Linked DNA regions of Nothobranchius furzeri. The protein of the gene in region 2 purifies or fractionates together with the protein of the main gene of each other region. This does not show direct contact. Links are inferred from orthologs where the notes say so. Each region holds a gene or a part of one and is shown on either strand. Other genes may lie near its edges.

The links.
Region 1: the proteins of cdk9 (region 2) and immt purify together in Homo sapiens (affinity purification with mass spectrometry; 3 studies listed by BioGRID, with this or other methods). This does not show direct contact. The link is inferred for Nothobranchius furzeri from reciprocal best matches to the Homo sapiens genes CDK9 and IMMT.
Region 3: the proteins of cdk9 (region 2) and larp7 purify together in Homo sapiens (affinity purification with mass spectrometry; 15 studies listed by BioGRID and IntAct, counting the BioPlex papers as one, with this or other methods). This does not show direct contact. The link is inferred for Nothobranchius furzeri from reciprocal best matches to the Homo sapiens genes CDK9 and LARP7.
Region 4: the proteins of cdk9 (region 2) and paf1 purify together in Homo sapiens (affinity purification with western blotting; 3 studies listed by BioGRID and IntAct, with this or other methods). This does not show direct contact. The link is inferred for Nothobranchius furzeri from reciprocal best matches to the Homo sapiens genes CDK9 and PAF1.
Region 5: the proteins of cdk9 (region 2) and ddx21 purify together in Homo sapiens (affinity purification with mass spectrometry; 3 studies listed by BioGRID and IntAct, with this or other methods). This does not show direct contact. The link is inferred for Nothobranchius furzeri from reciprocal best matches to the Homo sapiens genes CDK9 and DDX21.

What each region holds. Positions count from the first base shown.
Region 1 is NC_091741.1:108,908,017-108,914,340, reverse strand, and holds the start of immt (MICOS complex subunit MIC60), read right to left. Parts: upstream 3,726-6,324; 5' UTR 3,592-3,725; coding exon 3,550-3,591; intron 3,227-3,549; coding exon 3,159-3,226; intron 3,084-3,158; coding exon 2,894-3,083; intron 2,418-2,893; coding exon 2,273-2,417; intron 1-2,272. Other genes in the region: slbp (histone RNA hairpin-binding protein), read right to left, coding at 4,776-4,847, 4,933-5,059, 5,130-5,291. UniProt on the Homo sapiens protein: Component of the MICOS complex, a large protein complex of the mitochondrial inner membrane that plays crucial roles in the maintenance of crista junctions, inner membrane architecture, and formation of contact sites to the outer membrane.
Region 2 is NC_091742.1:88,948,734-88,955,007, reverse strand, and holds the start of cdk9 (cyclin-dependent kinase 9), read left to right. Parts: upstream 1-2,687; 5' UTR 2,688-2,791; coding exon 2,792-2,832; intron 2,833-2,971; coding exon 2,972-3,085; intron 3,086-3,622; coding exon 3,623-3,704; intron 3,705-5,722; coding exon 5,723-5,813; intron 5,814-5,899; coding exon 5,900-6,066; intron 6,067-6,143; coding exon 6,144-6,274. UniProt on the Homo sapiens protein: Protein kinase involved in the regulation of transcription.
Region 3 is NC_091742.1:73,351,495-73,357,331, forward strand, and holds part of larp7 (la-related protein 7), read left to right. Parts: intron 1-2,297; coding exon 2,298-2,451; intron 2,452-2,538; coding exon 2,539-2,651; intron 2,652-2,870; coding exon 2,871-2,983; intron 2,984-3,088; coding exon 3,089-3,248; intron 3,249-3,261; exon of another isoform or gene 3,262-5,735; intron 5,736-5,837. UniProt on the Homo sapiens protein: RNA-binding protein that specifically binds distinct small nuclear RNA (snRNAs) and regulates their processing and function.
Region 4 is NC_091753.1:48,339,912-48,345,319, forward strand, and holds part of paf1 (RNA polymerase II-associated factor 1 homolog), read left to right. Parts: intron 1-640; coding exon 641-673; intron 674-760; coding exon 761-853; intron 854-934; coding exon 935-1,056; intron 1,057-1,148; coding exon 1,149-1,215; intron 1,216-1,299; coding exon 1,300-1,401; intron 1,402-1,502; coding exon 1,503-1,608; intron 1,609-4,501; coding exon 4,502-4,570; intron 4,571-4,701; coding exon 4,702-4,805; intron 4,806-4,893; coding exon 4,894-5,010; intron 5,011-5,110; coding exon 5,111-5,239; intron 5,240-5,329; coding exon 5,330-5,408. UniProt on the Homo sapiens protein: Component of the PAF1 complex (PAF1C) which has multiple functions during transcription by RNA polymerase II and is implicated in regulation of development and maintenance of embryonic stem cell pluripotency.
Region 5 is NC_091749.1:53,571,071-53,577,625, reverse strand, and holds the start of ddx21 (nucleolar RNA helicase 2), read left to right. Parts: upstream 1-2,802; 5' UTR 2,803-2,887; coding exon 2,888-2,971; intron 2,972-3,776; coding exon 3,777-4,103; intron 4,104-4,267; coding exon 4,268-4,393; intron 4,394-4,486; coding exon 4,487-4,562; intron 4,563-4,757; coding exon 4,758-4,936; intron 4,937-6,555.

The DNA.
Region 1 (6,324 bases), on a different chromosome or scaffold from region 2:
CACACACACACACACAGTGCTGGCAGACACAGCAAAGCACGATACAAAATCAGAGTCCGAGAGTCCCAAAAGCAAGACTGCTCCGGCTGCTTCTGTTCAGTAATGGACACCGCGGCTGCAAATGCGCTGGCAACGATCATCTGTATGCAGCAGCAGAGCAGGCCGAGGCAGATCAGAGCGAGGGGGACATATATGTCGCAGGTGCGATGAAAAAAAAAATCTGTGTGCATTAAACTATTTTTACACGTAGCACTCGTGCGACATCTTTTCAAGCTACTCCCCCCCCCCCCCCCCCCCAGAACTTTATTGAACAAAGGTACGTTGCTTGCTATCGTGTAAAGAAGATGCCTTTTACTGGTGCACAACGTGCTAACAGGTGCTGTGGAGGAAAACAGAAACCAGAAAAGACACAAAGGCAGAAACGGTCCAAAATCTAGGATTAAAAGTGGAACTACGGGTAGATTAGCTAACGCTAGCGAGTAGCAGATCAAGTGAGGTTAGCCAGGTGGTTAGATCCTGCTTTTTCCAGTTTCGCCGGCTACCAAAGATGAAATCCATCCTGACTAGACATGACCGGCACACAGTGATCCATACATTTGTGATCTCTGGCTTTGATTATGCAAATTCCCTTCTTTATGGATCTACATCTTCCTCGGTTGCGCGCCTACAGCTGGTGCAGAATGCGGCGGCCCGCCTTTTGACGGACACCAGAAGGAGGGAGCACATTAATCCTGTTCTGGCCCAGCTGCACTGGCTCCCGGTGCGTTACTGCATCCAGTTTAAAATTTTACTTCTTGTTTTTAAGTCACTCCGTCTTTATGCTGCTCTGTACTTGACTCAGCTGGTTCTGCCCTACGTACCTGGTCCCAAGTGTTTGGGCGAGGACGCAAGGAGAACGCGCGTTCTCAATCTTTGCGCCTCGTCTCTGGAATCAACTCCCTCTAGCAGTGAGAATGGCCCCCTCTCTCTCCGATTTAAAATCACGCCTGAAGACTCATTTTTATTCCGTGGCTTTTACTTCAGCCGAGTTAGCATTGTACCATGTCTCTGTTTTATTTTTATTGATTTTATAGTAGTCACTGTACTACTTTTATTACTTTCTTCCCGTGTGTGGATTTTTATGCTCTTTTACTGTGCAGCACTGTGGTTGGCCTCGGCCGTGTGGGAATCTGCTTCATAAATAAAATGGAAGTTCCAAATAAACACGATGGTCGTGAAACTAAGAACATCTAAACTCTACCAGCGGAAGAAAAGTCCCCGCCATCCTGTTTATTGTTAGCTTTCTGCAGCACCAGGGAGCAGAACCTCTGGTTGCTGCTTTGAGTCTGCTCCGCTGCGGGGTTATGGCAAGCCACCGTAGCATGTAATTCACAAACGCATCTATCCGTGAACGCAATTTAAACTGGATTAGTGCCAACCCGTACATGTGTCACCATTACATGTTAGCAGTAGAAAGTAAATGTTATTAGCGTTTCCAGTAGCTAGCTACTGAAAATGCTAATTAAATTTTAACTAAGGATACATTTAGGTGACAGCGTGTTGTTTTGAACGCCACTGAGCTGTTATCTAATCAAGTTCCATTGTTAAATGTTCCCGTTTAATCTGATTAATCGAATCGATGACCCAAATAATCGTTTGTTGCAACCCTACACCGCGCTCTTTTGCCCCGCCCACATGCTCAGAGATAACCTCCTGACATCACAGGTCACTGACCGCCCATGTGCCCCCCCCCCGCTGTCTCACACATGTTCTGCACTACTCTTCTCTACCATTTCTGTCCTCGTCTCCGGCTCATCCACCGTCTGACCCTGGAACCAACCCTGCTGTCTGTTCCCGTCACCAACGAGTCCTTTAGGGTCTGCACCGCTCTCTAAACTCTTTCATCATCTAAATCATCTAGCTCATATCCTACCTGTGGATCAGAATCACTAACAATGAGGATTATTATTCCAACAAGCATCAGGCTCCTCAGACTACCTGACACTCGTCACTTCCAGAATGATCCCAACACCAGCTATTCTGACCACTTGTGAACAAGCAGCATCTTTTAGGCAGCGTAGTTTTAAATCTACAAGGTAATTCATGAAGTCCAACCAGCCTGTTGTCGTGTTTTAACGTCGCCATAATCAAATCTCGTATGCGTTTATTCACTCCGCTTGGCCCAAACGCAACACCAAATGAAGCTCATTGCGCTCCACAGCTGGCTCTCCTTCAGCGGCTAATCTGTGGTAGCTTCTGCAGGAGCGGCTGAGAAACGGTGAGAACCTCCTACCCTGTATGCTCTGAGCTGGCGGTGGTGGGACCAGACTGGACTCTGGGCCACTTGCCTCTGCTGCCTCCTTCACACTCTTCTGGGACTTGGCTTTGGGATCCGTTTTTGGTTTATCCAACATGGAGGGTGGCTGGTTCAACTCCACCTGAACAGAAACCATTAGAGATAATAAAAAAAATAATGTTATTGTTCCTAACTACTGAGCCACAACACGTCGAAACAACTTAGCAGCGTAGTCTAATCCAGCTCCTACAAGATCATCCCTGAGCCCCAAGTCCATCGACACGCTCAAATGGTTTACTTAAATCCAAACTTCCTCTGCTGGGAGACGAAAGTGAATTTTGTCACGGTACAGCTGCCACGTCATGTGACCATGAGATGATCTTCCATTTTCATCACAATCCCTAGTTTGTGGCAGCAGCTCAGGGAACACCTAAACCGCGCCTTCTGGTGGCGGCACGCCAGACAGCGAAGACAAAATCAGCACAAATGATGAGAGCCGTCGCTCTAAACAACAAGCCCCGCCCCCTTCTTTAGCTCAGGTGGACTTCACAGGAAAACCTTAACAGGTGACAGGAACTGGACTTTGCGTGTGAACAGGTGTTCACCTCCGCTCCTCACCTGTTTCCTCACAGGGAGACGGGCATCCTCAGGAGCTGGTCCCAGAGCCAGGCCCAGCAGCCAATCAGAGTACGGGACATTCTTCTCCACAGCTGCTCTGAACTTGGGGTCCCATTTGGAGTAGAGCAGTGTCCCTCCCACGCCTCCGCCTACCGTCACCAAGCCGAGAGCAACCACTCTGGAGGCGCCGCTGTGATGGGGAGGGGCAGACGGTTAGGTTTTTACCTGTGAGGTGTGTCCTTACCTCACCTGAGGGGTCAGTTACCTGCTCCTGCTGGTGGAGTAGCACCTGTAGGACTGCAGCGGAGTCAGAGGACTTCTCACACAGTTCTTCTGAAACACACAATGTCCCAGGTACAGTGAAGGCAGCATCTACGGTTGTGACGTCACCTCCAACTAAACTCACCTGTAAACATCAAATCTCTGAACACACAGGTCACCTGAGAGGTGCTCGTTAGGGTTCGGACCCTAATCCTTACCGGTACCGGAGGGAATGTAAACAAAGCCTAACCGCGGGCTAACCAGAGACGCCAAACTGGACCGGATGTCCTGGCACAAAACTGGTTCTGTTCAACCCTGAGAACCGTGGAACCTTGAGCTGGGTCACCGGATGACCCCACCATGCTAGCTGCTAACAGGACGGGTTCGGCTCTTACCCGGACCGTGGCGTGGGCTCCTCGCAGGCACACTCCAAGCATGGTCCTCGCTTCAACGGTCCGAGTCCAAAGCGGGTTCGGCGGTGGCACCACGACAACTTTCCTTCACACAGTCGCTCAGCGGACACAAACCAGAACCGGACCGGAACCTCCTCCCGCTGCCAGGCTTCACTTCCGGGTGGAAAAGCAACCCGTCTTCAGCGCCACCTGCTGGTGGGGAGTATGGCTCCATCCACGCGGACGTTCTCTCCTCTTTACCTGTCGGTCCTCGGGTGGTCTTCCTCCTGGCAGTAGATGGTGAAGGTCCACACTGTGGTCCGGCCCGCATCGCACCCGATTAGAGTAAAAACAGGTCCAACTGCCACCGGTCCCGTCCATCAGCTTCTAGTCATCACTTGCTGACTTCTCATTCTCACTCGACTCCCGCCATCAGGCACGGCTCGGCTGTGGAGGTCTCCGTAGGAGCAGAACCTTCTCTAGCTCTCCGTTCAACTATTCCCAGGAGGGGAATGCCGGGTCACAATTTCTGATCCAGTTTTCACACGTTCCCCTCCACTCCTTGATCGATTCCGTGGTCTTCAGAGAGCAAATGAAGTTTCATTGATGTTCTCCACCTGGTCCATCGTGAGCTCCTTCACCAAACACACTGGTTCCAGCATGTTTCCTAGTGCCGACACGTACACAAGAACAAACTCGTCCCGTACTCACTTCCACCTGAATGCCTCCCAAGTACTTTATTCCATAAAAACTCGGACCTTCTCAAGGATTTCAGGCACCAGTCAGAACCAGTAACGAGGTTGTTCTTTTTATTTTCATGTCTTCATCAAAAGCAAACAAACAAACAGTTGTAATAAGGACATATTAAAATTACACGTAGTTCATAACAGCAAACGTAAAACTGTCCGGCTCAACAGTCAAATCAGAGCTCTACAAAATATTCTACAAGCCGTCCGCCGTCGCTCCTCCTTAAATAACTCCTGGACTCAGGTCGATGCGACGTCTCCCCACCGGGACACAAACAGACGAGGACAACAGGGGCTCATCCCAGCAGTCTCCTGACGGGTCAAAGCTGGAATTATAAACCTGGTGGTGGAGTGATCTCCCTGAGCAGATGTCCAAGTTAAAAGTGTCCTTTTTACGGACTAAAAACAAATATTTGAACCCAAACGACTCCAGAACACACTTCCTAGATGCAGGTGGAGTTCAGCAGGAACCCCAACCATGAGCTACACCATGTCAGGCCCCCCTGGGCTCTCTGTCCTCTGGACTTTAACTGGGGTCCCCAGGTAGTCTTGATCCTGAACAACACAGAACAAGCAGATTCAGAACCGAGCCCAAAAAGTGTTAGGTTTAACCTGTCGGTTCGTAACTACGCTAACTCACCGTTACAGAGGAGGCGTGCACCCAGTGGGCGGTGGGGGGGTGCTCAGAGTGCGACAGGGTAGGGAAGTCCAACTCGATATCCATGACGTCACCAAAATCCAGCTCCTCACAGGGGTCCAGCTCCTGACTGGAGGAAAAACAAAATGACCTGCTGGGTTCGGCACAAGGAGGCTCCTCCGAGCCTGACGTTCTCCTACCTGCTGTTGCTGTTAGGAGTTGTCTTCTGGGAGCTCAATGACGGAGGATCCCAGGCATGCAGTTTGACCTTCCAAAGCTTGACCTGCTGGTCCCAGGAGCGCCGGCTGTACTTCCGGAACTTATTGGGGGTTTTCGGGTGGATGCCTGGCTGCCGCAGGTGCCTGAAAGCAGACACGGTCCAGGTTTTACGGACAACTCTCTACGGTGAGGGCGCTCCGATCAGAGAGATTTTTAAGAGGTCGGCCATAACCACATAAAACAGAAAGCAGGAACTTTTGTATTCACGCTGATTTTGAAACATTATGATGGCTTAGTTCTAATGTTGACAAGATCCATAGACGACGACACCGTAACATCCCACAATTTACAACAGACGGGGGATTCAGACACCGGAACATGTAGCTGTTAGCAACAGGCTAACGCGTATCCTCCGGAGAGAACACGTCTGCAGGTTGGACGTATTTTAAGCTGGACAGTGGAGGTGGAGCAATAGCCTCTGTTGTGTGTGCACACTGGGTATTTAACATGCCGAGCTGTAGTCAACACGATGAATCTGAAACGCCACCCTAAAAGTAAACCCTGCTCAGTTCACTGCAGCTACTCGGACAAAAACACGAAGCAGGACTAGCTGGCGGGTGTGACCCGTGTTTGTGACCAGCAACAGGCACGGCCATCATTTATCACTGGAGCTGGTATGAGCTGTCACTATTTAAAGAGCAAGTCACCCCAAATCACATTTTTTTTTGCTGATAAACTATATAAAGGAGTGTCTAATCATGCTACAGACACGTGTCGTCAATAGTTTGGCAGTTCAGTGCATCTTGGTTAAAATTCAAATATTCTGTCTAAAACTGTCAGTGTTGCGCCGTCGTCAGAGAAAAATTGTGCACTGTATTAGAATTTAAACCTGCCAATGCTATTGGCTAAGAGGTATGATATGATGTCATCTGGTACATTATGATGTCATAATGCCATTGTGAGCCTGTGTGTGTGTATTTGTTAGCGGCTCCGCCCTCTCGGTCTGCCAAGCAGCAGCATTTGTTGCATTTTTCAAACATGAAGAGGGAGTGAAGTAAGTTTCTTGTAGGGGGTGACTTGCTCTTTAACAAACATCTCTGCACAGTTTGTGCCCAGACCCGCCCGTTCAGTGGAGGGAACGCGCACCGATCAGTAAACGATTTGAACAGAGCCACG
Region 2 (6,274 bases):
TTAAATTAAACAAACAACATATGAAAAAAATATATTAAAAAAATAAACAAAACAACATATGGTAAACAGAGAATGTGTAAGTTTGCAGATTCACCAGTTATGGAGAAAAAAAGAAAAACCAAACAAACCAAAAAACACCGAAAAAGAAGCACAACAGTATAATGAACTTATATAGATTATATAAGTATCCTGGATATTTATACATGATATAAGCTTCATATGCTAATTTGCTTGATCATTCTCAGGATCCAACAAAGCTGATAGCAAACAGCGTTATATGCTAGTACGTAGATTATCCATGCTACACCTGTGTTAGCTGGATAGAAAATAGTCTCCTACACCTATCTCCTGTGTTAGCTTCTGATAGAAAATAGACAATGAAACGCTCCTGGGTGGATACATCATCTGTCTGTCTCTGCTTTCCATGGAGGATGTAAAATATATTTGTAAATTTGAATTCATGATAACTAGGTTTCTGCTGTAAGGAGTAGGCAGGTGCCTGGTGTATTGCAAAATTCAGAAGCCGACATGCAGCGTTATGTTAAATGCACTGGGTTTTACCCTATTACATTTACATTTCATGGTTAAACAGTACATGTTAAAATCTAAGCTCAGCTCGGCAGTGACCTAAAATACATAAATATAATTTTACTTACTGAAAAAAATGAAGTGGAGACTCCTTGGACGCTCTATTAGTGCAATTAATGCCACAGCAAGTCATTTTGTCCAACAATTGCACAAAAAATATCCAAAACAGAAAAAACAAACAGAGACTCAAGATGCCGGAACAGTTTCCAGGCCAGACCGAGGCTCTACTGAGGCCTTTCCATGGAGCTAGCTCTGTGGTCACGTGGGTCTGATGCTCATTAATTATACAGAATTTTAGGCTTTTAACACACTTAAACAGAAGAGTGAGAAAAAAATTCACCCCCCTCAGAGTTGTCATGAGTGTAAACTAGATCATTTAAACCAAAAACATGTTTTGGTACCAGGCTGTAAACATGTTTATTTCTGCTATGAAATTGGTATTTTTAACATGGGAGTCAATGAGGATTTGCTCGCTTCTGACACCAGCCCCTAGTGGATGACGGTGGAACTGCAATTTTTGGTACTTCCGGTAGTCTGGGGATCAAATCCCACCCGGGCCCTCGTTTCTCCACCTTGCCACATTTAGAAAACTAGAAGTAAATACAAATAAAGACACTGGATATACGCTTTACGTTAGCATCCACCATCAGCGTCTCCTGGCTAGGACCTTCTGTCACATGACTGCAACTCTACTCGGCTTTCACACATACGTTTTGGAAAGACATCAGCAGTTTTGTTAATAAATTCTTGTTCGTTAACACCTAAATGTCGTCGTCGTCGTCTTCCTCCGCTTATCCGGGTCCGGGTCGCGGGGGCAGCATCCCAACTAGGGAGCTCCAGGCCGTCCTCTCCCCGGCCTTGTCCACCAGCTCCTCCGGCAGGACCCCAAGGCGTTCCCAGACCAGATTGGAGATGTAACCTCTCCAACGTGTCCTGGGTCGACCCGGGGACCTTCTGCCGGCAGGACATGCCCGAAACACCTCCCCGGGGAGGCGTCCAGGAGGCATCCTGACCAGATGCCCAAACCACCTCAACTGACTCCTTTCGATCCGGAGGAGCAGCGGTTCTACTCCGAGTCCCTCCCGAATGTCCGAGCTCCTCACCCTATCTCTAAGGCTGAGCCCGGCCACCCTACGGAGGAAACTCATTTCGGCCGCTTGTATCCGCGATCTCGTTCTTTTGGTCATTACCCAAAGCTCATGACCATAGGTGAGGATTGGGACGTAGATCGACCGGTAAATCGAGAGCCTGGCTTTCTGGCTCAGCTCCCTCTTCCCCACGACAGATCGGCTCAGCGTCCGCATCACTGCAGACGCCAAACCAATCCGCCTGTCGATCTCCCGATCCCTCCTACCCTCACTCGTGAACAAGACCCCCGAGATACTTAAACTCCTCCACTTGAGGTAGGACCTCTCCCCCGACCCGGAGTTGGCAAGCCACCCTTTCCCGGTCGAGAACCATGGTCTCAGATTTGGAGAATCAACCTAAATGTTTTCTTTATAATTCTAATTTGTTAATAAAACACCATATTATCTTTGTTTTGTAAAAAATGTGAAACTGCATAAAACCAACATCAGACTGACAAAAAATAGAACAGTTCTTACATGTGAAGCCATATCTGTTTGTATTAATGGGGACTTCGTCTGTATATTTCCTTAGTTGTTATCTAAATACATTCTTTGACTCAAAATATTTCTTGGTGTCTTTCAGTAAACTTCTTATATTTTATTTTGCCCTATTTCATCAACATCAAGAACTTTTGAGGGTCACCGTTTATCATTTGCTTATATTTTACATTTCCTTTAGAAATTCAAACATATTTTCTCCAAAAAGTGTTGATTTTTGGACTACAGGACTACAACCGCTAAGACTACGACCGCAAATTTGTTCTGACCAATTAAAATCAAACGTGATAACGTAACTTCCGTAAGCTTCATGTTCAGCCAATCAACTACTTTGACGTCATCGGCAGTCGAAGGACCCCGAGCCGGTTCTGCACCCGAGCAGATCCTGTACCGACACCGGGGCCTGTTTATTCGGGTGGAAAAAGTTGATTTGGGGGTGAGTTTTGGGTTTTGAACGTGTCCTTGGGGGACTTGTAGTTACATCTGCTGTCCAGTTGGTGGCAGAATATCCTCTGTGGTTTGTTTCCAACCCTCCATTAAACAGAAGAAGAAGAAGAAAGGCGAACGTCAACGCAGTCATGCAGCGGGAGAAAGCTAGCAGCGCTGGCGCGGCTGAAAAGTAAGATTTCCAACTACGAATTCGCTCATTTGTTATATATGTTTTATATTTAAGTTTTTGGGTATGTCTGTGTGGTGTGTCTTGGTTTTTCTGTCTATAAGTTTCCTGATATTCAGTCTAACCTCTTTGTCCCCACCAGGCCGGACCGCGAGGCCGCCATAATGTCCAAATATTACGACGGAGTGGAGTTTCCTTTCTGCGACGAGTTCTCCAAGTACGAGAAACTGGCCAAGATAGGACAGGGAACCTTCGGGTGAGACAGACGTGTTTGAGACGTTTCATTGTGCGGTAAAGTGAACGGGTCTGTGTTTGTGCTAGCGGTGCTAGCTGATGTAGCATCGGCCATGTTCTGGCTGTGTTGTGCACACAGAGGAGGGCTAGCTCTGTTTCAGGGTCTTTAGTTGCAGCAGGGACGGAAACTCAGTAAAGATCCAAAGAAAAACCATGATGGACCGTCAGGAAGACCTAATTCGGGGTGCCAACTGGCACTGGCGGGCCGGTATAAAGCATGTTTTAGCGGTTTCTCTGCTCCAACACGCTTTAGTGGTTAAATCACTGTACAGCAGCTCATCAGGCTCTGCAGAAGCCTGTTAATCACCCGCTGATTAAAATCAGGTGTGGTTAAAACTAAAACATGGGTACCCCTGCCTTAAGGGGTTACAGGTAACTGGATCAAGACTGTTACTGATCCTGATTTCTAATGTTTACTCTGAAATTAGGGTTTGCGCTTGTCAATAACATTTAAGTCCTTGTTCTAAAACAGGATAAACGTGTGTTTGTGTCTTTTCAGGGAGGTGTTCAAAGCCAAGCACCGGCAGACGCAGAAGAAGGTTGCTCTGAAGAAAGTCCTGATGGAAAATGAAAAGGAAGGGGTGAGAGACGAGAACCTGGTAGCTCATTTAGAGATGTTGAAAGACTTTACGTCAGTTATGATCTGAAGTGTGAAGCTGGCAATCATATGGGTCTGAACAGCTGGATGTTCCTGGGCCTCAGAGGCTCGAACTAGAGCTGATTTCTTCATCACCACCGGCTCTCACAGCATCCGCGTCCAAACCCGCCTCTCCATGTTAGCTACCTCAGTTGAACTCTCCATCTTCTAGCAGGTTAATGTGGTGCCCACAGTTTTGTCCTCAGTCGCTCGCCTTGCTGAGATTAGCATTGGGACCCGTGGGATACCAGTCCCATTGCAGGGCTCTAATTGGATCCCCACTCGAGTGCGCTAAAGCTTAGAACAAGTGAACAGGGTTTAACGTCCACCACAGTGGACCCACGTGGTCGGTATTGGTTGTGTTGTGTCTGGGCAGTACCTGATACTGGTACGGTCATGGGTGCATCCCTGATCCACGTCCCAGAGTGGCCCCTGCTCTCCTGCAGCCTGAAGAGAGCCTGAAACAAGACAGATCTGAGTTTCTGTTGCTGCTTGTTGTGGTTAAAATCACAGCTGAGATCAAATCAAAGATACTTTATTAATCCCAGAGGGAAATTAGAGTTTCAGTACACACAATTCAGAGATCAGACACACATGGGCAAGACACATGACAAGAATTGGTGACTGTGGTCATTCGCAACCCTGAGTCGCGCTACCTTAATAGAGATAAGAGGGTTACATGAGGATTGGTTCAGGTGGAGGGAAAAAAGGCACTTCAGAGCTACCCTCCACAGGGAGGGCAGCTTTGCTCTGCAAAAAAACACCTCAGACATATAAGCATGAACATCAACAGTCCACAACATGAGACTCCCAATAGGAAGGCGGGGTGGGGCTGGGATCCTTCTTCCCCCAGCGAGAGCAGCCATCAGATGGGCCATTCCCATCTGTACCGGGTCAGCCTGGGCCAGGTAGCCCCAGTCGGCCCCAGCCTGGCCCGGTTGATTCCACACACCCTTTCCTTAAGCCCATGTGGGCTGATTCTACCCACCAATCAGAGGCTTGCTCTAATGGAAGGTGTGAATTTGCTGTCAGCAGTGGGTGTGTTGGCCCTGGTCGGCCTGAAGCAGACCCCCTCGAGAAGAGGGCTGAGAATGAGCCTTGGTTGGCCCGGAAAAATACCAGGCCACCCAGATATGTAAACAACCTACGCTACCCGGCCCGGGCCGACCCGGTACAGATGGGAATGGCCCATAAGGCGCTCATCTACTGTACAGTCACAGGTGGGAGGGAGATCTTGGGAGGCGTGAAGAGCACATTGACTCCTCCAGCTGATGACCTCGCCAGGCTGAAGTCCACCAATTGGGGGGGGGGGGGGGGGGGGTTCACAGCATCTAAAGTTAAAGTCCCATTAGTTGTCACACACACAGGTGTGTGTGCGAAATTTATTCTCCGCATTTGACCCATCCCCTGCGGGAGCGGTGAGCTGCAGACAAGCCGCGCTCTGGAACTATTTGGTGGTTTAACCCCCCAATCCAACCCCTATGCTGAGTGTCAAGCAGGGAGGCATTGGGTCCCATTTTTTCAAAGTCTTTGGTATGACCCGTCCAGGAATCGAACCCCTGACCTCCCAATCATTTTGACTCTGGTGAAGCTGAAGAACACGTTAGAACTTCTCACTGGTTTGAAGGTGGTGGGGTGAATGCTGGAGAGCTCTTATCTGAGTTCAGGATAGAAATATGTGGTGCAGACATGACAGGAGTCTTTCACTGAGGCTCCTTCATTCAGTCTGGAGAACTTCAACAGCTGGGTAGATGTATTGATCACCACTGATGATCAGCTGTGTGAAGGTGGAGAACCATTTTCATGCACAGATGGAGACATGAGAGGGACGACACCGCTGTCTTAGATTACAGCTCACTTTGGTTAAAGTAATATGAACATAAACAAATGACCCGAGTCGTCTCATTAATATCACCGCGTGGACCGCATCTCCAGCATCGCTCAGTCTTCGTTTCGTTTCAGTTCCCCATCACAGCTCTGAGGGAGATCAAGATCCTGCAGCTGCTGAAACACGAGAACGTGGTGAACCTGATTGAGATCTGCAGAACCAAAGGTTAGTGGCTTCAGGCCGGATCTTCAGCTGCAGGAACCATCTGCTGCTGGAGCTGAAGGTGACACCCAGTGTTTTTGTTGTTGCAGCGACCCAGTTCAACCGGTACAAAGGCAGCATCTACCTGGTGTTCGACTTCTGCGAGCACGACCTGGCCGGGCTGCTGAGCAACGCTAATGTGAAATTCACGCTGGCAGAGATCAAGAAGGTGATGCAGATGCTGCTGAACGGGCTGTACTACATCCACAGGAACAAGGTGAGACCGATCAGAAGCAGAACATTAAAGACCCGGTCTCAAGTGGGCCCGGTCCTAAATCGTGTGTTCTGGTTCAGATTCTGCACCGAGACATGAAGGCCGCCAACGTGCTCATCACCAGAGACGGCGTCCTGAAGCTGGCGGACTTTGGCTTGGCTCGGGCCTTCAGCCTGGCTAAGAACAGTCAGGGGAACCGCTACACCAACCG
Region 3 (5,837 bases), about 16 Mb from region 2:
TGTGTGATCTAACTGCACATTTCCAACTGGCCTTTAATGGCTAGTGCAACTCCGTCCTTTCCAACAGATGCGTGTGCGGCGTGTAACGTAATAGTGGCGATTTACCTGTGAGCATCATTCCAACAGTGAGTGTTTCGGATGCAAAATGGGAGTGAAAGTGTTCCACCCCACTAGTCTTGGGATGTCACAAAATAGCGGTAGAATTGCAACACCACTCGTGATTTCAGAAGTTCATGCAGTAACTAGCAAGGAGAAAGTCCGCTGCATGCATCCAGAAAGGTCTGCGGTTTATTTCCTTCTCTGTTAAACTCGGCTACGGAGGTTTCACAGGACATGACATACTTTTTTTTTACTAGTTAAGCTACTGGAAATGTGCACCTGACTTTTCTTTAGAAAATCTGTGGACATTTTACAATGTTTTTGTGTTTAACTTCCTGTTTAGACTGACCTGAACTGCTGAGTTTGATGTGTTCTGGAAGCTTAGCACGTAAAAAAAAAAAAACCTTAAACGTAATCAAACTTTCTTTTCGCGTCGGCGGCTAATTGTTCTATGCTAGAACCTTCCTTTTACTCACATTGTTTTATGCTAAGCATAACTTACTGCTTCCAGATCAGCAGAATGACTGAGCTTGTTAGCTACCAAATCCTTTTTCTCTCTAACCTAACTGGGAAATCTAACAGACAAAATGCTACATAGGGGTGGAATATTCCCTTAAGTGTAAACCAGTGTTGGGAGTAATGCGGTACAAAAGTAATTAATTACTGTAATGCATTGCTTTTAGCAGTAATGTGGTAATGTAAGGCATTACAGGGAAAGAAAATGGTAATATTTACTCGGTACAACTGTCAGTAACGCGGTAATTACAATGCATTTTTAAACCCAGAATCAAGATGTGTTCCTTAAAAATTCAAATTGCGGGAAACCCGAAGAAAGATCCAGTATCTGCATATATGACGTCATTTATGGACTCAGCTTTGCGGGCAGAGAGGACGCAGCGGCAACGGCTCAAATACTCCAGCTGCGTCCTGCACGCGGCCGCTGTAACATTCACAAAATCGCTCCACTAAAACAAAATAATTCACTTGCGATCGTTCATATCAGCGCATGTTCTCTGGTATTTTGTGCTTTTCTGACGTGCTTTGCCTCAGCTGAGTTCATAATCTGTGCCCCGGTGATTTCAACTCATTACTGCTGGAGCGCCGCGCATGTGTAGATCCCTTTGGCTGATTAGTTAGAAAGTAGGAAGTCTAGGAAACAGTTTTTCTGGAAGACGGAGAAAACATGCAGCGTGCAGGAAGGTTAGAGAGAGAAAGGGCAGGAAATTATTCAAATAAAATCAAGAAAACAAAACAAAGTGCTTGAAAAGAAAAAAGTAGGTAGATTTATCCCCAATAGACATTTTACCAGTGAAAAGCAATAATATATAAGCATTTAATATTTATACATGTGATAGAATCAGATCACCCCAGAAGTCAGGCCCACATCCAGGGCCGTATCAAGGCATTTGGGGACCAAGGCAATATAGGCTTGGAGCCCCCACCACCCCACTCCCTGCTCAGTTAATATAAGACGGCAGCGTGTTGAGAGTACATATTATTGTTGCTTTTATTTAATAAACAATCATTTTAAAGCACTGTTATTATATGTGGCTGTTTTTAACAGCAATCCTAGCTCAGACACCACATCACCTTCCACATATATGTCATGAGCTCACTGGGCGTCACATTACCAGATTCATATTGAAGTTGTTTTGGTGAAAGTAACTTAAAGTAATGCAAAAGTAGTGTAATGCCTTACATTTTTAAATCAGTAATATTGTAATTTAATGAATTTCTTTAAAATGAGGGTAACAAGTTATAAATAATGCATTACAGTTTTGAAGTAACTTGCCCAACACTGGTGTAAACAATAAAAAAGCGGCAGATTTAAAAAAAATGTTATCGTTTTAAAAAAATAATGCCAGCAAATGGCCGAAATAGAAAAAATGGCATATATCGGTCGGCCTCTAGCGAAAACAACAGTCTGCATCGGTCTAGGAATGTTCTCAAATTTTCATGTATGCTCAGTGATTGATCTCTGTTCATGTGTTTACCTTTTGACCACATCCTTTCTAATAACCTGAATGATTAAAAGTCCATTAACCAGCCTAATTCATTCACTTTGGGATCGAACACTGGGAGTACAGAGGGTGGTTACGTCAGAATACACACCTACTTGAACAAAGTGATGATGCATGTGTTGAAAGTGTTGTGAAACCACGCGGTTTGTTGCAGTAATGATGCCCCCCCGCCCACAGAATCACACGCTGAAAGTGACACTGAGGAAAATGTTGAGAAAGGGAAAGACAACGGTGATGACTCAGCCGTGAAAGCAAGGCGGAAGAGAAAAAAGAAGAACAAAGAGAAGCTGAAAATCGGAGAGGAAGTCATCCCGCTCCGCGTTCTGTCCAAGTATGCTCCTTAATAACAAACACAGACTGATAAATTACCAAAAAATGTGTCACTTTGAGGATCTGTCTTCCTCTTTTTGTCATGAAGGAAAGAGTGGCTGCAGCTGAAAGAGGAGTACTTGGTTCTGCAAAAACGCAGCATGGCATCGCTGAAGAAGACCATCAGGAAGATTAACGAAGACAAAACCCAAGATGGAAACGGTGAATTTACTCAGATTAGTTCAGATGTACTCAAACTATTGTGTCACGCACAAGAAAATGTTTAAAACCCCATACAATAATAATTTACCACTTATTGTACTGACATCATAGTTTCCGAACCCAAGGTATTTGAGGCGTTTGTTGAAAATAACTGTTCTTTTTCTGGTGTTTTTGTTCGATTACATTTTCCAAACAGTTTCTTTTCATGTTTGATTCTAGCTGAGCTGGAAAGCAAAAGTGAAAAAGAAACCAACCATGGCCCTCAGTTCATCAGCGGTGTGATCTTGAAGATCACTGACAGCAAACCGTTACCATCCAGGAAGATCATCAAGGTTCAGACTCGGCTTTTTGCTCATTTGTTCCAGTTTTCATGTTCGATGAGAACAATTTAAAGCTAAATTAAACGTGCACACTCTGTGTGGTTTGTGTGTGTTTAGGATACTCTGTCCAAGATATCCCCAGTGGCTTATGTTGACATCTTGGAAGGAGATGTTGAGGGTCACATCCGTTTTCACACCTCAGAGGAAGCAAAAGCGGTCTGCAACATTAAAGAGGACCTGCAGAAGGAGCACAGCTGGAAACTACAGATTCTTAAAGGTACAAGATTCATTTATAGAGGTTGAATAAAACAACCAATAACTGTTTTATTCGGGGTGTGTACGGGCAAGAATCAGGTGATGCCATATCACAATTCAGGGAGCACAAAACTATATATTGTGATATTAAAAGCCAGATCATATTTGCAGTTTTTAAGACTGAATTTAACTGGAAAACTCAGGCCAGACGCTTCAGATGCATTGTGTTCTTACGGGATCTCAATGTTCTGTCAGAATGAAGGAAGTAAAAACTGCTGCCACTTAGCAGTCGGAGTTTAATTGCGCCACACAAAAGAAATACAAAACTTAGGGATGGACAATATATCGGCATCAATATCGGTGTCGGCCAGTGTTAGTAGGGATGAGCGAGTACACCACTAACTGTATCTGTATCTGTTCAACCAACTAAATTATCTGTATCTGTACTCGGAATGGGCGTGGCATAACCCAGAAGTGGGCGTGGCTTAACCGGAAGTGGGTGTGGTTTACATCAATCTATTATTTTAAGTCTGAAATTGATATGAATTGATCAGAAGTTGCTATGTGTATTGTTTATTTGAAAACTATTTACAGAGCAGCCTCAGAATAGAGATGAAATATTTTGATCACAATAGTAAAGAAACTATTACAGAACAAGTGTTTCAATCAAATCAGAACATTAATATTTAAGTGCATGAATTAATACATCTGAACTCATGCAGTAGGAACTAGGAAATATGAAATGCTAGAACCAGACACAACTTTATATATATATTTTTATTTTAACTTGATTAAACAGATTTTTTTCTTAACATTCTTGGCATTTTGCCCCACACAAAGTTAAACAAAACAATGTTGATTGAGGTGTGTGTGTGTGTGTGTGTGTGTCTGTGTCTATGTGTGTCTGTCTGTGTGTGTGTGTCTGTGTGTGTGTGAGAGAGAGAGAGAGAGAGAGAGGGAGAGAGTTAAAAAAATAAAAAACCCGACCGGAGAGGAGGTAGAGACGCAGCACGTCAGCTCTGTCTTGTCAAATGTACCATGTACAGTAAGTTACAAAAAAAGTAACTTTAAATATTCAACCGAAAAAGAGGCGAGCTGAAGAAAATCTAAGGAAAACTGAAGAAACGTGAGCAACAGTGAAGCAAGCACAGCGAGATCCGTTACTGTCTGTGTGTGTGCGTGGATGAACAGGACGGACTGAGCTCCCGGCCGGCTAGAGTTTTGTGTGTAGGGAGGGGCGGGCGCTCTATGTGACTGGCCAATCACAGAGCGTGAAGACAGTCAGTTACCCAATGAGGATTTTCCTTCAGCACAATTACAGATATTTACAAGGTTTACTCGTGTCATGCTCGTATTCATCAAAAATGCTTTATCCGTACCGGATACTCGTCTGAAACGAGTATCCGGCTCATCCCTAAGTGTTAGTCATTTTTTTAACACATCGGTATCGGTTTGTTGAGTAACACCAGGCTGATTTGCTTGCCTGTTTCAGAGGGTGAGGGGTAGGGCTGGGTCGACGGACACGTAAAATACGTCGACGCAAATAATTTGCTCAAAACAAACATGGCGGCAGCGAGTAGTGGCAACATGAGTGGGGCAGTCGACTTAAATCACTTAACCCAAACTCACAGTTCAAAAGTATGGGACTATTTTAACAGAAAAGGAAGCGATTCAGTTGTTTATTTTATTTTATTTTTTTTTCAACTTTATTTTCATTTATTGACATTAAAATAAAAGTACAAAACTAAATTGCTAAAAGCCAAAATGAAAAAGGGGATAGAAAAACTTTTGCTATCTGCCCCTTTTAACTAAAATAACATTAATACAAATGAAACAAACATATGATTCTTAAAAAAATATGAACAATATAGTTTCTGGACCGGTTGGCCGACACAACCTCAACCCATGAATTGAAAAAAGAGAGAAAACAAGTTACACAGAAAGAAGCATAAAGTTATAGACTTATATACTTACATATATACACACATGCATACATAGACTTGTGCTCCCCCCCTTTTTTTTCTTTCATCCCCTCAACCCCCTCCCCTCACACATTTATGTAACAGATCTATATAAGTTAATCATTTCATTTTTTCTCTTTTTTGAAAGTCAATATTGTTTTTGCATTCTTGATTTCAGTATTTAATTTATTTCACATTTTAACTCCATAAATGGACACACAATGTTCCTTTATGAGTATCTTATGTCTAGGTATATTCATGTCCTTTTAAATCATATCTGCCATGTCTTTTTGTAAATCTATTGATTAAACCTGCAGGTGTGTACTCTTTGTTTGCAGTATACATACATTTTAAAATATTGTAGTCCACCAGATCATAGAATTTTGGTGTTTTTAATTTTACAAAGAATGGATTGGACGGATCTCTGTAGTTGCTCCTTGTTTGCCGGCTTTGTAAAATGGAAATGGCTTATCATAAAAGCACGACAACTATGCACCAGCACCTCAAACGACGGCATCCAGGAGCAGCTTCTGCAAACGAAAAACACAGTAAGTTTTCAACTTTTTTATTAACACTGTTTTACACACCCACATCCAAACACCCCCACGTAGCCATGCACTCACTCACACACACACCGAGATAAACACAAC
Region 4 (5,408 bases), on a different chromosome or scaffold from region 2:
CAGGGGGTTTAAGATTTTTGGCGTCTGCCTAATCAATCCCGGTGGCTGCCTGGTGGGATCTGGGTCCCTGGGCTCTGCTGGGTCCCCGGCGGCGGTGGTGGGTCCTGGGTTGCTGGGTACCGGGTTCGGCCAGCTGGGGGGTGGGAGGCTGCGGGCGGGCCTGTGGGCTTGCTGCTGATATCTCCCGGGACGCTGCTGGTTGTGGCCCTCCGGGGCAATCCACTGCGTCCCTCGAGGGGGGCAGGGGCTTTTCTGGTTGCAGTCTCCCTGGGGTCCCTGTGCTCTGGGGCAGCTCCTGGATCTCTGGGACTTGGAGCTCCCTCCAGAGATCCATGGGAAGAAAGAAAGGAGAAAAAATGTGTTTTCAAGACTGTCGGAATAAATATAAAAAATAATTATGTTTAATAGAATAGTTTTGCATTTTTGCAATATAGAAAAACAGTAGAAATCCAAACGTTTGTTTTCTTTCAGTTCTCATTGTGGCTTTTGGTGTATTTGGTTTATTATCGACGTAAATATTCTTCGGGCTGCATTCGTTGGTGTGAAAGGTCTCCACCAGTGTTATTTTGGGGGACAAAGCTAAAAGGTTGCAGTTTTCCTGGTTTCTTGGCATTTTTTAAAAACTACTTTTATTTCCCAGTAGGCCATCTTCTCACAGAACTGTTCCAGAAAGGTAAGTAAATTCAGCTCTTTTAAAATGTATATCTTACATGTCATGCATATTGATTTGACTTATCATTTTCTTTTGTCCCCATGACAGGTCGGGAATTGTCTGTCGAGTGAAGTACTGCAACAGCCTGCCAGACATCCCCTTTGACCCCAAATTCATCACATATCCATTCGATCAGCATCGGTAGTTTCACTCTCCTGCTTTCTGAGTTCGATAAATAAGGTTACAAACAGACACACACCATTTATCGATCTGCTCTGACAGGTTTGTTCAATATAAAGCTACATCTCTGGAGAAGCAGCACAAACATGAGCTCCTGACAGAACCAGACCTTGGGGTGACAATTGATCTCATTAACCCAGACACCTACCGCATAGATTCTAACGGTAAGTTTCCAGTTACAGACTCACCTTATATGTTGTTTTCTATTTAGATTATGTTACGTTAATAAAGACATTTGAATATTTAACCCTTTCAGTTCTTTTGGACCCTGCTGATGAAAAACTGTTGGAAGAAGACATCCAGGCTCCGTCCAGTTCCAAAAGGTAACTCTAAGATAAATATGGCGTTATCATTTCATATTTTTTTGTAATGTTGGGGAATGAATATGTTTATTCTACATTTTTAAGATCACAACAACATGCAAAAGTGGTGCCGTGGATGAGAAAAACAGAATACATCTCCACAGAGTTCAACAGATATGGTGTATCTAATGAAAAGGTGGAAGTCAAGTAAGTTTGATTTTCTTAGTGTGTGTTTTATATGTCTGTGTGTGTGTGTGTGTGTGTGTGTGTTAGTAGGCGTCTTTTTTTAATTATTATTTTGCATTTAGGATTGGAGTTTCTGTGAAACAGCAGTTTACAGAAGAAGAGATCTACAAGGACAGAGACAGTCAGATTTCTGCCATTGAGAAAACATTCGAGGATGCTCAGAAATCGGTAAGTTTGACGTTTGTTTAACGGCTCTGAATAATAACATTTCATGTTCTTTTATATGAAGATTATCTTCGTGGACACAGTTTGACCCTGTGTGGGTGGGATTTAACCCAGAAACCGGCTCTCTTCACCCAGGTTACAGGTTAAGAACAAGTCCAATGGAGCCCTGGCGCTCCTGCAGGGACCCAGACCTAACTCAAAGATCAGCATTCCTGATCCAGTTAACCATGGTTTTGGGAATTTTAGGAACTCACCAGGAACCCGCCACAATTATAGGGCCTGTATCATGCTATTTTACACCTCCCAAAGCAACGGCTGACGCTTTATATGATAAAATATTACTGTTGGCATTACTGAGATGTAATTTTTTATAAATATGTTATTTTTTGTGAGATATACCTTTAACCCAGAAATAAGCTGCTTGGATTTGATGAAACCCAGCTTCTATCTGTGTTAATTCCACAATAGTGCACGGCTGCAGACCCAAAGACTAGCAGCAGTAGCTCAGGAGGTAATAATAAATAATGCATAGAACTCATATAGCGCTTTTCTAGACACCCAAAGACGCTTTCACACACTCTCACATTCACACACTGCTAGTGATGGTAAGCTACTTGTAGCCACAGCCGCCCTGGGGAAGTCTGACAGAGGCGAGGCTGCCATTTGGCGCCGTCGGCCCCTCTGACCACCACTAACACAGGCAAGTTGGGTGAAGTGTCTTGCCCAAGGACACAACAGCAGGAAACCCCTGGCGGGATCTGGAATCGAACCCATGACCCTCCGATCATGAGGCAACCCGCTCTACCACCTGACCTACTGCTGCCCCACGGGTAGAACGGGTTGTCCAGTAACCAGAAGGTTGCAGGACAAATTCCGGCTCCCTGCAGCGAATTCTGCTGTCGTGTCCTTTGCTCAAGACACTTCACACTCCTAGCCTACTGGTGGTGGTCTGAGGGACCGGTGGCACTTGTGCAAGGCAGCCTCGTCTCTGTCAGTGTGCCCCAGGGCAGCTGTGGCTACACTGTAGCTTATCACCATCAGTGTGTGTATATGTTTGTGGATGACTCACTGTAGTGTAAAGCGCTTTAGAGTCCTCTGACGCTGAAAGGCGCTATACAGGTGCGGGTCATTCATCATGACCCACTCAGTGATTGCCGAGTCCCCCCCGTAGAATTCTTAAGCCTGATTCATGCTTCTCCCGTCTGCGTCAGTGCGGAGACACGCAACGTCCTTGCGGGCCTGCCGGAGAGCACCGCAAGGACGGACGGAGTAGAGCTCTCTTTTCTAAACATCCTTCAGTCGAGACGGAGAATGCAAGCTTGTGATTGGTCAGGACGCCGCTGCTGTCTACTGCGCCGCTGTTGCGCCCTCAAAAACATAAAGAGAGCCGAGGATAACAAGCGGCAGACACGGAGAAGCTTGAAGAATACCTCGCGAAAAAACTCTAAAAATATGAACGTTTAATTCCCCGTGACTGGAGGAATGAAAAGATGCGCAGCAAGCGTTTTATTTGTGGACAGAAATGACAGGAAACGTGGGTTTAGAGGTGGCGAGCGCATGAAGAGGTGGAGGAGGGTGAGAGACAAATTTGTCTGTGTTAAAAAGTCTCTTATATACAAAAAACACAAAATAAACACACTATCTTGGACCGATACATGATAGGATACCACAGAACAGTGCTACGCCCTCTGTTGTCCTGCCGGGGAATTGCTTTGCAACGCTCTCCAGGAGACGGAGAAGAATGAGAGCAAAACGCTTCCGTCAATCCGTGCGTGTCTGTCCCTTGCGGAGCTGATGGAGAAGCATGAATCAGGCTTTAGCTGGAGGGTGACACATACAGAGCTGGGGTGAATCGGTCCCAGTTTTTCTCTGATAACCTTTCAGCTAGCAGTTAGCATTTTGGTATTACCTACATGACTCTCCACCAGGTGGTTTCAACGTTGGAATGAAAGACACAAAATCTTTTTCTATAGCGCCTCTCAAGATAAAAATCACAAGGCGCTTCACAAAAACAAAGAATTTAAAATATAAAAAGATTTGGTGCTGGTTTGAAGAAGTAAAGCATCTCTAGTGCTGGTGGTGGTTTAACAAGCAGTCTGTCAAATCACGGTCACTTTTTGAGAGCTCCTGAAGTTAAAATCCAACATTTTCTGATGATTAAACTCTTCTTTAGGAAGACTAGACAGGAGTCTTGTTCTCTCACTGGCACACGTCCATTTTTTGGTTCCAGACATTATTTAAAGTGCAGACTGGACAAGAAAAAAATCACTTCTTCACAACTGTGGAGATTAAACTCCCTGCTAGCTACATGGTGAGACCCGGTGTTAGTGTTTACAGTCGAGGGGAGGAGGCATCTGGACTAAAGACTACCTGGATGGGGAGGGGTGCGCCGTGATGATGCTGCTATAACCCCATCCAGCTGAATCAGAATCAGGGTTTTAGTGCCATATGTACAAGAATTCATGAAATTTCTGTGGTACTTGGCGCAAAAAGAAAGATACAAACTGGGGATACGTAAATATAGGAAGTAAGAATACAATCATGATAAAATAATAATATAAAGTGGCAATAATTAGAGAAATGGCTACTATATACAAGAAAGTGTAGGTACTGATCAGAGCGGATCAGTTCAGGTGCAAACACAACACAGGGTCATGTGACTGAAACCAAGCGACTTGAGTGGGCGGCCCTAGGATTGTCATTCATGAGTCCAACAGCAGCGGGAAGCAATGCAGCCTGCTGGGCAGACAATTTGCAACTGAGACAGAAAAGTGCTCGCAAGAAGTGTTTTCACCTTTAAAATATTAATCTGCAAATTAGCTTTTTGGTGCAAAAGTGGAAAAACATCATGTATGGTGAGATAATAAACCAAAAAGTTGTTGTTTCTCGTTTCCAGATCGCACAGCACTACAGCAAACCCAGAGTTACTCCTGTGGAGATCCTCCCTGTGTTCCCTGACTTTAAGGTGACCTTGCCGCCTAAAGAATGAGCACACACACACACACATACGCACACACACACACACACGTTGTTGTTTTCGTAGCTGCTTCACTAGCAGAACTGAATAAATACCTTCCTCTCACATTTTCTCCTCAGATGTGGATCAACCCGTGTGCTCAGGTCATCTTCGACTCTGATCCGGCACCCAAGGACATTTCTGCTCCAGCAGGAGTGGAAATGATGTCTCAAGCTATGATCAGGTATCTGCTAAAGAAATGATGGTATAAGTATACGTCACAAAAAGGTGTTTTTTTTTTTCTGAAAGCATCCCTTTATTGTTTAACGCAGAGGAATGATGGACGAGGAAGGAAATCAGTTTGTGGCTTACTTCCTGCCTAATGAAGACACGCTCCGTAAGCGAAAGAGAGACTTTGAGGAGGGACTGGACTTTATGCCAGAGGATCTGTGAGTGAAACACAAAATATTCTCTCTGTCTTGTTAGAAGGACTCCTGCTGGAGTCTGCTGCAGTATCAAGTATAAAACCATCTTCTGCGTGTGTCTCAGGTACGATTACAAGATTGCGAGGGAGTACAACTGGAACGTCAAAAACAAAGCCAGCAAAGGTTACGAAGAGAACTACTTCTTCATCTTCAGAGATGGAGATGGTGTTTACTACAACGAGCTGGAGACGAGGTCATCATTCACTCCAGTTGTTTTCTGTTCATGCAGTAAGAATAGGTTTAGTCGTGGGGGTGTCCTTAAATGGTTTCTTCTGACCTTCAGGGTGCGTTTGAGTAAGAGGAGAGCCAAGGCTGGGGCCCAGTCCACTACTAATGCTGTACTAGTGTGTAAGCACAGAGAT
Region 5 (6,555 bases), on a different chromosome or scaffold from region 2:
AAATCACAATGTAACCATAGAAACATTACTTGGTGTGAGTGTGTGTGTGTCTGCTCTGTCTTCTTGATCCCCAGTGAATCGTGGGGTGGCTGCTTATACTGAGCCAGGATCCTCTGGAGGTTTCTTCCTGTAAAAAGGGAGTTTTCCTCTCCACCGTCGCTACATGCTTGCTTAGTGTGAGGATTGCTGTAAAGTCACTGACACCAATACCTAGGTTTACCATTGTCCAAAGATAGAAATAAGAGTGAAGAACTAAACACAAAGGAAAAAATAGATGGTATGAGAAGATCTCTCAACCACTGGCTCATGAGAGATCTTACTATCATTGGCAGAATCTTATTAACAAAAGCAGAGGGCTTATCAAAATTAACCTATCCTTGTCAGTCTCTTTATGCCCCCCCCCCCCCCCCAAATGATAAAAAAAGTAAACTCGATCATTTTTAATGTTATATGGAAGAACAAGACACACTACCTTAAAAAGTCTGTGATGGTTAAAGACTATAAACATGGTGGGTTAAAGACTGCTGATTTTGAAGCCATGATATGTTTACTTAAGCTAAACTGGATAAAAGCTTTTTTAATACAACCACATTCTATATGGTTCCACATACCAAAATGTATTTTCCAAAAGGTTTGAGGATTAGAATTCCTGTTAAAATGCGACTTTGAAATATCTAAAATACCAATCAAACTATCTGACTTCCATAAACAAATACTGCTCTACTGGAAAATGATATTCAGCCACAACTTTACACCACACAGCCCCACCTTGCGGAATAATAGAGCCGTTGTAATTAATAGGAAGACTATATTTAAAAAAGAGTGGTATGATAAAAATATTTTATATGTGACAGACTTGATGGATCAAAATGGCAATTTGTTACAATTTGAATGTTTTGTCAAAAATTTTAATTTCAAATGCTCTGTTAGAGTTTAATCAAATCAGTAGAGCTATTCCACTTCCCTTAAAATTCACAATTAAAAATATCTTGCTTAATTCAAATGTGGTGATTAAACTTCCTGAGTTGAAAATTGGCTCATTTAAATTAGGTGAACAAAAATGTAATGACTATGTACTTGGAAGTATGTTTAAAAATAGTTATTCTATGATTTTGAAAAACCAACGAAAACAAAAATCACAGGATATGAAACTACATTAACAAAGCCATATTGCAGCTATCTTAAATGGCCAATTGCACCCAAGTTGAAAGAAATTCAATTCAAAATAATACATAATATCTATCCTGCTGTCGAAACATTAAGAAAAAGATTTAATTTTAATATGAATCCGTGTCTTTTGTATGACAGAATGTGAAACTATTGAGCACCTTTTCTTCTCGTGTTCAGTAACAATTGGTTTTTGGAAGGATGTTTATCGATTGTTAAATATTGAGAGAAATGATGTATGGCTTAACAAATCTAAAGTGTTGATATACATGGATGCTTTTCCAAAAAAGAAATCCAAAATGGTGAACATTATTTTCGTCATAGGAAAATACCATATACATAAGACTATGGAAAAACAGCAAGCCTAACATTAACCATTTTAAAAATGAAATAAAACAAATTACAACATCTCTAAGAGTATCATCAGAAAATAACCAATCTATAACTGAGTTGTATGAAACAATGTCTGAGTTTCTTGTTCTTTAAATTACAGTCCAATGAATCAAACATGTTTGAAATGCAATGCTGAAATATCAACCTCTGAACATTTTTTGTTTGTTGTTGATATAATTTTATTTTAATTATTATTGTGCATCATAATTTATTTCATGGTAGTGTCATTTGGTAATCGTTGCAAGTTTTAAATGTAATTTTTTATTTTCCTCATGTGAGGTCATTTGTAATTGTTACATTCTTCAGTACGTTGAGGTTACAATGTAAACTGAAAGTATGTGAAAACGAAGATTTAAAAAAAGTTAAAAAAAATAACAAAGCGTTTAGAAAAAGTTTTTTTTTTGCCAGAAAAGAATCCGTTCGCAATTATCTAACTTCTCTTAGTAAAGTGCACTCAAATAACATTCAAGGACTAATGGAAAATCTATTTTACTACAGAGCCTGCAATATTGCGACTGTTCACTCCGCCATTAGAGTAGCACCTGGCTGCACATTCTCTTTCCTTACTCCCGGAAGAACGGTTCAGAGTGCAAATTGTTTATTTGTTAGTCTGTAAGGAATATCTACAAGAACGTTATACAGAAAGTAGCAAAGGGACCTGAGAAATGTCAATAGGCGCTTTTTTTGGGGGGGGGGGGGGGGGGGGGGGGGTTGAGGGGGGTTAAAAAAGTCGTTTGACTCGATCAAGGCGTTTTTTTCAAAACTTTATTGAACAAGGTGATAAGTATACAAACAAATTGCATACAAAATTGAACAAAGAAGATGAAACATATGCCAGGTGGTGCACTACAGAAATGTTACACACATCCAAATAAATTATAGGTGGTGCAAATAGTTATAGTTTTTAAAGCTTTTTTGTTTAGTGGTCCACTAATCAATTTTATGTAAGATAGAGTGTCACTATAATAGTGCTTGAAATTAGGTTTTTGGTTACTATATGTGCATTTGTGGAGATAGAATTTAGCTAGAATAATTAACAAATTTATAACAAAGTATACATCTTCCTTTCTGTGCTTGCGAAAAAAACAAAATACAACATTTTCCCATTTTAAAACAAAGTCTTTGCAGAGCTGTCCGATAATAAATCTGCTAAAGTCTTTCCAAAACGTTGTTCGATCAAGACTTATGGTAGTCCCACAATAGTTTATATTTCCGGGTCAAGCTCGCGACCGCGTATCCGCGCGCCGCCGCCTCTCGCGTTCCTTTCTATCCGCGTGCCCGTAGCTTTACCTGTGTCCACGCTGAGGGTTTCCAACTGGGTAGAGAAATGCCAGCAAAGATCATCTCAGAAATCGAGGAATTCACCATGGATCAAGATATGGACACTGTCGCGGAGGCTAAAACCTTAAAGGTGAGTGTTGGAAGTCGTGTCAACCCAAAAAGTGTAATAAAAGTGTCTCCTACGATGTTCCGTCGACTCCTCCATGTTGACAACATGTGGCTGTCCGCGCTAAGCCTAAACGCCGGCTAAATGATAAACGATTGTAATTTGTATAAAAGAAAAAGACAAAACCAGAAACAAAACAACAGCATACATGTTTCCCTGCTTTGGCTACTGTCATAATTTAGCTTTGTTTAGTGATTAGCTTGCTAACGTGGTGTTAGCATATTTTTGCGTAGCTAACGTTGCGTACACAACGTCCTCCCATTCAGCTGATCTGTAGAACATATGGAACCACGAGTTGACTGGCCACGACGAGAAGGTTTTTGTGTGTGTATCTGTCTTGGTGACGCGTTACGCAATTCTTCAGCTGTCCATGATGTTTAAACAGGACATTTGACTGAAATAGTTTTCATTTCTGATGGTGTATTTTGAGTCAGTTTGAATAATTAAGCAGCTTTTTTTGTCTCAGCTTATTGCGTAAACCATACCTTAATCTTTAGTCAGTGTTTGAGGCTGATGTGTTTAAAAACACCATTTATTAACAATAAGTAAATGTGATCTGGTCTGATCAATCAGTTTCTTTGAAGTTACATCATGGATCCCTGGGACCATGTGAGATGCCAAACTTGGTAAAAGAGTAAATGAAGGGAAAGAGTGCATCTTCATGAAAAAATCATCAGGATAATGCACTCTGTGATATTTAGTAATAATTTAATTTAAACGTTTGCCTCTGATTATTTAATTTATGTAAATTGCGTTGATTTTCTTGAAGATAAAGAATAAGTCCAAGGAGGGCAAAAGGATGAAGAAGCAACAGCAGCAGGACTTGGAGGAGCAGCAGGATCCAGACTGTGAACCTCCTGCACCAAAAAAGAAAAAGAAAAAAGAAAAACTGGCAGCGGACCAAGTCAATGGCCACATAGATGAAGCCACAGACGTAAACAGCAACAGCAATGGTGTAGAATCACCAAAGAAAACTAAAAGGAAAAAAGATAAACTGGCAGCAGACCAAGTCAATGGCCATATAGATGAAGCCACAGACGTAAACAGCAATGGTGTAGAATCACCAAAGAAAACTAAAAAGAAAAAAGCAACAGAGGTAAGTTTGGGCAGATTTACAGCTTCCTGTTGATAAAAGGTGACATTTTGGATTCTGTTTTCTGATAACCAACACCATCTGTTGTGGGGTGATAGTGTTATGGTGCATAAATATTCTGTTTCTGACCTGTTTTTACTGTCTTATTTTGTTTGGGGTGAGTTTAGAAAAACAAGAAGATAAAAATGGAAAGTCCTGTGGCAACAACCAATGGTCATTCTGCCCCAAACACACCAGTTCAGACTCCATCCCAGTCCAGTGATGACTCAGCCAGTGACGGTGAAAGAGAAAACGTAAGAGCTGGGATATTTATAGTCCTGTTAAAACATGTTTAATTATTTTAGTGCTTCTGAAAAAGCTAATAATCCATATTTTGTTTAATTTAGGAACTGACACCAGAGCAGAGAGAAGGAGCGTTCTCCAATTTCAGAATCTCCCAAATCACTATTGATAAACTGAAAGGTAAACATAGAAAACCTTTTATATATCTGTTAATTTGACAAAAGCTGCTAAATAGATTTAAACTGTAGTTCTTATGTATGGTATTTTTTTTTTATATTCTACGTTTATTTTTTTTTCTCGTTCTGTTCTTGGGAGAGAATTTGTTCTTTCTCATCTAAACTTTTTTTTTTTGTCACTTTTCAATCAAATCTTTAGCTCGAGGAGTTTCCTACTTGTTTGACATTCAGGTAAAATCTTTTAATCCTGTTTACGATGGGGAGGATGTCATCGCCCAAGCCCGCACAGGAACAGGAAAGACCTTCTCCTTCGCTATTCCCTTGGTGGAGAAGCTCCAGAAGGAAGCAGAGCAGAAGATCAGAGGCCGTCCTCCTAAGGTGCACAGTAAATAAGCTCACTTCTGACTATGGTTGGGCATCGTTTGATTTTGAACAATTCCAATTCCTCGTTTCGATTCCGGTTCCTATCAATTCCCGATTCCGATTCTTTCAAGACATGACATGTTTTACATGAGCCAGCTAACCACAGGTCCTGCCTGATGAAATAATCTTAACTTCAACATGAATTTTAATTCTATGAACAACAACATCACCTTCATTTAGACAAAAACATGTTTGGGAGAAGAAAAGAAAAAGACTTGCAGCACAACTAGTGTGTTTGTTTCTGACCACAACCAAAGTCTGGAAGAAGCCTCTGGGATGAGAGGCTAAATGTCTCCAACATATCCAGAAACGTCCAGCTGTTTTCAGCTAAAACTCTCAGGATGATCATGTCCAGGATGACTGAGAACTACACCTCCATGCTGCAGCAGCATTCAGTCAGAACAGGAAGTGAAACTTAAATGCAGCTGCTGTCAGTAACAATCTTAACAGATTTTAAACATTAAAACTAGAGGTGCTGAAAAAAATCGATTCAAGTTTGAATCTGGATTCTTATTTATAAAGATTCAGAATCGATTCACAAAGGTTCAGAATTGATTCCAAGAACTCAAATATTTGGCATGTTACAGGTTTGAGATGCACTTTTTCGATCTTTGTTAGGAGAGTCAGTACTCCGTTTACTTTTGTGGTCCCATAAATTGAGATGATTTATGTTTGAATCTGCTGATAAGAGGGCACTTGAATGTAAATTTTTCCATACTCAGAAATTTGAGATATTCCCATATTTATTTTCTAAGTTGATGAGTACTCAGGATTACTCATGTAACTTGTTTCTACACATACATGAAAAGTATTTGACCATATTACTTTCAAAGCAACTGTGAGGTAACTACAGATTTGTTATATTTTACAAGGTAAGCAAAAATAAATGTTGCCTTTTGGTCAAAATATTGCTTCTGTTAACAGTTTTAGAATCACTTTATTTTACATTGTAAATTTGCATTTTTGGAGCATGACCAGTTTAAAGTCAAATAAAAATGTCCCATAGCTTTAACTAACTTGAACAACAAAGTAGTTAATCCTGGAGCTGACACTCTTCGTTAATACTGATTGTGAATCGATTTAAATCGAGAATTGATTCTGAATCGAATCGGCTCCCCAAGAATCGGAATCGAATCAAATCGTGAGTTGCTCTAAGATTCACATCCCTAATTAAAACTCTCAACAGAAATAGTTCAGAAAGGAAATAAAAAAATGTTATTTATTATTATAATTATTTATTGTGGCAGAAGCTGGTGTGGTCCACAACAGAGAAGCTTCTAGCATGGTGACTAATTATCCTACTGGTTATTGTTCAGCCTTCTCATGCTCACACACACGAGTGTTGGTGAGCGGCTGCATCTGACTGCTGACACTCCATGTGTGTTTTTATTTCTGCAGTGAGACAAACTCACCTCACACCGTCCAGAGTTTGTTCTTTTAAGCTTCTATTAAATCCACCGTGTTGACGTATTTTAACAAGTTTCCTCTCTGGCGCATTTTCGCTACAGAAGTTAAAGTTTACATTACGGAGTAAAAGTTCGTCAGACACGTTTGTTTATATTTGGCCGCTGGGT